Oryzias latipes: one gene and its partner. The protein of the gene in region 1 binds, or shares a complex with, the protein of each later gene. Links are inferred from orthologs where the notes say so. Each region holds a gene or a part of one and is shown in the gene's direction. Other genes may lie near its edges.

Region 1 (3,818 bases):
CCCTCTGGTTCTCTTCTTCTCTTTGCTCCCTGAAAATTGGACTCTTGAAGTTCTGTTGCATTCAGTCCAAAAATGTCTCCACATCCGGATATTGGTTGATGGAAGTCGATCCATCTGTGGCTGAAGGCTAAAGGGGAAAATGAAAGGCGTATTTGCCTTTTTAGGGTGCTAGGTCAAAAATGGAAAGAAAGTGTGGTGGATGACACGGAGGGGAGGACTTGATGTTTGCCCTGGAGGTGAGCCCCCCCCCCCTCTCCAACTCGCTGTCCGCCATCGCGCATCACTTCCCATTTAGGTTAGAGCGCAGCGGATGGCGGTGGTTTGACCTGTGGTGACCTGCATACTTCATGTTAGTGATGGGGCTTCCACAGGGAAGGACTGGGGCTGTGGAACCGTCACGAAAAAACGACACAAAGAAAATGTTGAAAACTCTGAACAATAGAGGAGCTCTGCAGATCTTAGGTTTTAGGTTACCATCGCCACAACTACAACAGATTCTGCTGAAACTAAAAATGAATTAAAACATCTAAAGTGAATTTTGTGGAATTAGGGCCTAAAAAAGAAATTCAGTTATTTGTGATCTTACAGTTTTTCCATTTGTGTTCAAAGAAACATGTTAGTCTGGTAAACCGAAGAACTCTATTTTGTTCTATTAAGTATGGATGGTAATACATTTTTTAAATGTCAGAAGAGTTTATGCTGCATTCACACTGGACGCGATTCACGTGTCAAATTCCTGTATGCTGCTTCTCTTTTGATGTGTGTCAGATTTACTGCTGGACGCCTTGACGTCCCGGCCGCAGAGCAGCTGCCAACGTTTTTCTGGACTTTATTTGTTGCAGCATCATGAAAACATGGATGATGTTAAGCTGGGTTCACCAGATCCTCTTCCTTTTCACTGAGTTGCTGGTGACCAACCCGGTTACTGGTGGGTGAAGGCGGGGGACACCCTGGGCAGGTCAACAGCCTGTCAAAGAGTCCAATGTTGGAGCTAGCGAATGCCGCCGATCAGAGTCCGGCCAGACGGCGGGAGCGGGCTCGATCACTGGCGACCTGCCCAGGCCGCATCCCGCCTTCACCCAACAGTAACTGGGACAGCCGTCTCCCCACAGCGCCAGTGGATTGAGAAAATGGATGGAAGTTCACGATGAAAATCCTCACGTCGAGCAGCCATATTGAATTAATTTTTCTACTCTTTGATCGAGCCACTGGAAATGTCACGTGCCCAAAGCTGCGTCCCACGCGCCCCGCCTAACGCCCAAATTGTGCCGCAGGACCTCAGATTGCATCTGTACATTGACTTAACATTGAAACTCGACGCCCCCATGGGCAAATTGTGTCATGTGTGAATGCAGCCTTAACCTTTGTATACTAAAGAAATGGTACATTTTACTGATCTGTCCATTGGATGTGGGCTTACTACAGCTTCACGTTAGCTTGCTTGCACCTCTGTGTTAGCATACTGTAGTTTTATGTTGGCACGCTGCGGCTCCATGTAAGCGTACTGCTGTGTTAGCATAAAGGTCAGAGCATTGACTGTTACCGGACCGAGCGAGTGTGATGCCCTCCCATAGAAAATGGCTTACTTACGGCTCCAATGAGATGTAGGCAATTCAGTCGCCATTTTTCCATAATATAGAGGCCGCCATTTGGAGCCAGCTGACATTAGTTTGCAGTGATTGGAGTTAATTTTTGATATGGCAGCTACTGTCGCCAATCGTAGTGAGCTTCTTGGACGTCCACACCCCTACCACTGAACGCAGGATCAGGAGAATCTGTCAATCAAAATTTCGAGTGTTTGAGGTGGGGGCCAATGGCACCACATGCTTTTACTGAGGCATCTGATTGGCCAATTTATAACATAACATGCATAAAGAAATTCCAGAAGAGGGCCCGTTCTTTAAACCGATCTCCTTCCTTAGATTCAAGCTGTTCCCCCAATGCGTCCCCACCTTCGGTTTCCGGCACATTCTCCCCCTGACCGACCAGGTGGATCGATTTAACCAAGAGGTGCAGAAGCAGCTGGTATCTCGCAACAGGGACGCTCCTGAAGGCGGGTTTGACGCCATCCTGCAGGCAGCCGTATGTGAGGTGAGGTGCTTCTTTTGTCACTGTTTCCGATGGAGACACATTTCCTGGGGGGGGGGGGGGGGGGGGGGGGGGCAAGAAGTTCAGGTCCATTGTGGCTGCTCGTCTATCACAGCACTGGCTTCAGCCCGGTTTCCTCCTACAGTGGAATTGTTTGCCAGACACGACAGTGGCTCCTGCCCTGCAATTAACTGGTGTTAAACCGTTACAGCATGGAGGCGGGGCTTCCCCAACTTGTGGCCTTATTGGTTGAACTTCTTTCACAAAGTAATACTGCTTCACCGCTTTTTTGCAGAGGCCTGTGGGGGCATAAACAAAAGTTTTTGGACAGATTGGGGTGTTATTCCATCACCCAATGCTTACACGCCGCATTCACACGCCCTCCAGCAGAAGCCCTCTCCGGGTTTAGGAGGTGCAGCTGCGTTGCGTCTGAAGGCGTCTGTAATTTTTGGATTCAGAGTAAATTTGCCCTCTGAGCAGGGATTAGGTTGTCTTTGCTGCATCAATGGTTTGTTTCAGAGTTGGGCCTCGCCACACAACAGCCTTTCTGTTGTTGGTCTCACAGACGTGCTAAAGGACAACAAAGAGGCTCTTAGCTGATTGGCTGAAACACGCCGTGGTTCAGTCTGCGCCTGCCTGTTGGTTCCTGCTGATAATGCTCTGGACAGCTCTCCTGCTTGTTTTCACACTGTGTGTGTGTGTGCACACGTGTGTATGTGTGTGTTTGGATACAGTTTTTTATATTCAAGTTTTCCTCCCAAATGAAAGATCTTCTTCCACTTTCGGCTTCTCCCATCAGGGGTCGCCACAGCGAACGAGTCGCATGGTAAATTTGGCAATGTTTTACGCCGGATGCCCTTCCTGACGCAACCTTCTCAAACCGGGCTTGGAACCGGCAGAGGTAGAGAAGGGAACAGGGAGCAGCCCGGAGTCGAACCCGGGTTTCACGGACGGAAGGCGCCGCAAACCAGCACGAGCTAAACTGGCAAATGAAAGATAAAGGTTTTAGTTTGAAAATCTCTTTCCACGCCTTTGTTTCAAAGGAAATAACTTTGAAGCAATTGCTCAAATATATGACTTAACTGAGAGGGATCTGCTGATACTTGGCAGTGATGCTACTGCTCACTCTGTCCATTAATTGCAAGGGTTGCGTGACAGTATTGCTGCAGGTTTACAATGGCACCCAGTTTTAGAAAGTGCTTGGGGCCGCATGTTCTTGGTTCTGTTATGACCAGAGCCTACTTAATTTTAATGGGGGCCGCATTTAGTCCACGGGCCAGACTCGGGTCATGCCTGCCTTTGTGGCTTTGGCTGCCTCTGCAGCAGGGCCTGATGGGAAAACTGCGGGTTTTTCTTCTACTGCAAGCCGCCCTCCTTCTTCAGCAGCTTTACATGAGTATTTGCTCAAAGGCAGAGGGTGTGGGTGAGACGCTGACTGCTGGATCTTCAACAGGACAAAATCGGCTGGAGGAAGGAGGCGTATCACCTGCTGGTGTTTGCCACGGACGACGTGCCGCACCTGGCTCTGGATGGGCGGCTGGGGGGCCTGGTTAGGCCTCACGATGGGCGGTGCCACTTGGACGACCAAAACGAGTACAGCGCGTCCACCAAGATGGTAAGGTCCACTGAGACTGCGTTCATTATGTCAGAAAATTACCCCTGTATTGTAAATCCTCTCCAGTTTAGTTCTGAGAGATGAAGCAACACAGAAGCTCTCCAAGCTGAGACTT
Region 2 (2,971 bases), on another chromosome or scaffold:
CGATTGCATCCGATGAAGTCAGCAAACAGCGAGTGGTCTGAGCCGGACAGTCAACGTTTCTATGGCCACACCCCTACCTACTTTAAAGTTGGCTTTAAAGTGGGCCAACAGGCCCCTCCTACTTTAACTGAGGCATCTGATTGGTCAGTTTATAACTGGAATAACTTAAACTACAAAAGAATATTATGGAAAAAATTTGGCTTATTAATAACATGTAAATAAAAAGAGGTATCAGAGCAAGAATGGATGATCTGGCTTCTTGGAGCCACTTCCTGTTTGGGAACGCCGTGGGGGGGGGCACTCAGTCCAGTTCTAAAATACAGTTAGTGATTCTGGTGTTGGCTTTACGATCAGCTGTGCAGATTTCTTCATCCGAATGATCCATCTTTGTGAGTTTGACGACAGCAAAAGTTCATTTTTGAGCATCAAAAAAATGCTTTCCTGCGCTCAAACCCATCAAACAAAGTTGGCAGGTTTGCAGCCTTTTCGTGGCGTTTTACTTACAGGAGCTGCGGGGGGTGGGGGTGGGGGGTGGTCGAGGTTCACCTTCACTGTATGGAGTCGCATGAAAGACCGACGGAACACAAACAACCGCTGGAAACGACAGAAATGTGCAGAAAGTGTTTCCAAAACATCCTGTGACGTCTTTCTCTTCCCCTCTTCCCCCCCCTCCCCTCAGGTCTCCCCGTTGCTCAAAGGCTTCCTGGACAGGATGCTGGTTCGAGAGCCGGCTCAGAGGGCCACGGCCAGCGAGCTCCTCAAACACCCCTTCCTCGCCAAGTCGGGCCCGCCGTCCTGCATCGTCCCGCTGATGAGGCAGAACCGAATGAAGTGAGGGCGGGGGCGGGGGTGTGCGTTCCAAGACCAGAACACTCCTGCACACAGAGGTCGGGGGTCAAACGCCGGCGGTTTGCAGGAGGGCCCCTCGAGAACCGCGGGGAGCGCTGAGCGAAAGGCAGTAAGCTGCAGGCTGAAGGTGCAGCTGCAGCTCCCCGCCGGACGCTCCACCCCAATCCTGCAGTGAACGTTGCTTTTGCACATCGGCCGGACGCCCTGAAGGGGTCTAGAATGTCCCTTCTGGGCCTCCTCCTCCACAGACGTTCTCCCAAACCGAACACTATCTTCATCCAGAAGCTACTACTGAGAGACGAGAGCTTTGACCTAAACACTGGATCCCACTAGATGATTCTTTTCCTGACATGAACATAGAGATATATCTGTTTAACAGGCCACTGTTGTGTTTTCTGTTCTTCCTCTTTAGAGTGATGATTTTGTGAAGCACTGTGGAGATAGACGCTGCTTTCAGCCGAGCAGACACTAAACCTTTTTATTTTTAGTCCGCACGTTACTCAGACAGCAGCGGGAGAAGCAGCTCGGCTTCTCCGAGGCCACTTCCTGCAGCTGATTTCTGAAACTCCGTGTAGAAAATAAGCTAAAAGAGGCGCCGTTTTCCTTTCTTCTTCTCCAGCTCCCACCTCTCTCTCTGCTGCAGCTCTCCGGCTGCTGTTTACAGTAAACGATGTGGATTTTTATGCCGTCATGCTGCGTCGCCCGTCTCCTTAACGCCTCATCGCGGGATCACCCGCCAGTCTCTGAGCGTTTCTTCAGGTTCACCTTAAAAAACAAAGAAGAATCAGCTCAGATGATCGGGTTCTTCCAGCTCTGATCCTCAGAGGATGAACTTCTTAAATGTGAAGAACTAAATTGATCGTTTTTGCTCTCCTTCAGGCCAAGTTTAAAGCCGCTTTACCTCCACGGCAGACGTCCAGACGGCTGTTTGGCGTTCTGGATCTGCTTCGTGGCGTGAAGTCGGTTTATGAAAGCCGCGATGGAACCAACAGCCGGAACTTCTCGGCTCCGTTGATCCAAAAGCGTCACAGGAAGAGCGATGGTTTTGTTGTTTCCCGTTTTACCAGGTCAACAGAAGTCTCCAGTCATCTCTGTGTTCATGTAAACACGCGTGACGTGGAGCTCCGGTCCCTGAGATGAAGAGTCGAGCCTTTCCGCCCTGATTTTAGTGTCAACAGACGGCTGATCAAAGTCTTTTAAGATCATTTAACAGATACGCGGTTTTATTTTATTTTAAGGATTTCAGAGCCTTTTAGTTCCTGTTCTGTGCCTGTCAGTTAGCTGTCATGCCTTAACGTCTTTGTTTTCGAACCGGTCACCTCAGCTGCTGAGAATCCGCAGGTTTTCCTCGCCACGTCCGACGCGACCTGTTCGGCCCGACTTCCCGCCGCAGCAGGACGCCTCTGTAAATGTCACTGTAAAAACGTCTTTGCAGATTTGACTCTTTTTGCAAATACAGTTTTTGTTAAGGATCCCGTGTGTGTCTGCAGTTTGTTCCTCACAGAGCGGCAGCAGGCGTTTGGCAGCGGCGCCGGGAAGCAGCGAGTTTGTGCCTCAGAATCGGAAAAGAGTTATTCAGGAATCACTTTTTTATCAAAAGTGAGGAGCTCTTCCTCTCTGAAAGACCCACTCTGATCTTCTATTCATCTAAAACCAAAAAAGCCTAACGTTTTCTAGACCAGTGTTTTTCAACCTTTTCTGAGCCACGGCACACTTTAACCTTAAAAAAATCCCGCGGCACACCAGCATCCAAAAATTAAAAAAAAAAGGAGAAACTCATAGTCTGTATTGATCTACAGCCCCTCCCTCCACAATCTCACATGCATTTTTGAGATAATTGTTACAGAAAAAGCTGGAAACTGCAGCTGTTTTTTCTAAAAGATGCAATAAAAGATAAGTTAGAAGATTTAAAAATAGTTTGATGTGTGTTCGTTGGTTTCAAAACGTTTAACAACAGATCTCCGTATGCGCTGTCACTCTCACAACCCAATGCATCATGGGAGATGTAGTGCATAAAACGGCCGGAGATTGCTTTTCGGAGCTTCATTGTTTTGTTCACTTGTTCCACGGTCTGATACCGGATTCTGTGGAAAGCTACACCGCTAAAGACGAGCTTTAGCTG

What was found.
Region 2: the proteins of itgb5 (region 1) and pak4 are in contact, whole or in part, in a crystal structure (PDB 7S46), measured with the Homo sapiens proteins. The link is inferred for Oryzias latipes from reciprocal best matches to the Homo sapiens genes ITGB5 and PAK4. Residues at the interface, in NP_002204.2 of Homo sapiens: Ser762, Arg763, Ala764, Arg765, Tyr766, Glu767, Met768, Ala769, Ser770; in NP_001014831.1 of Homo sapiens: Gly330, Ser331, Gln358, Arg359, Leu362, Thr404, Lys442, Ser443, Asp444, Asp458, Phe461, Leu475, Val476, Gly477, Thr478, Pro479, Tyr480, Trp481, Met482, Glu507, Glu512, Phe516, Asn517, Glu518, Pro519, Pro520, Met524.

Annotation. Positions count from the first base shown.
Region 1 is NC_019879.2:658,308-662,125, forward strand, and holds part of itgb5 (integrin beta-5), read left to right. Parts: intron 1-1,922; coding exon 1,923-2,091; intron 2,092-3,541; coding exon 3,542-3,703; intron 3,704-3,818.
Region 2 is NC_019871.2:3,962,378-3,965,348, reverse strand, and holds the end of pak4 (serine/threonine-protein kinase PAK 4), read left to right. Parts: intron 1-679; coding exon 680-835; 3' UTR 836-2,321; downstream 2,322-2,971. UniProt on the Homo sapiens protein: Serine/threonine-protein kinase that plays a role in a variety of different signaling pathways including cytoskeleton regulation, cell adhesion turnover, cell migration, growth, proliferation or cell survival.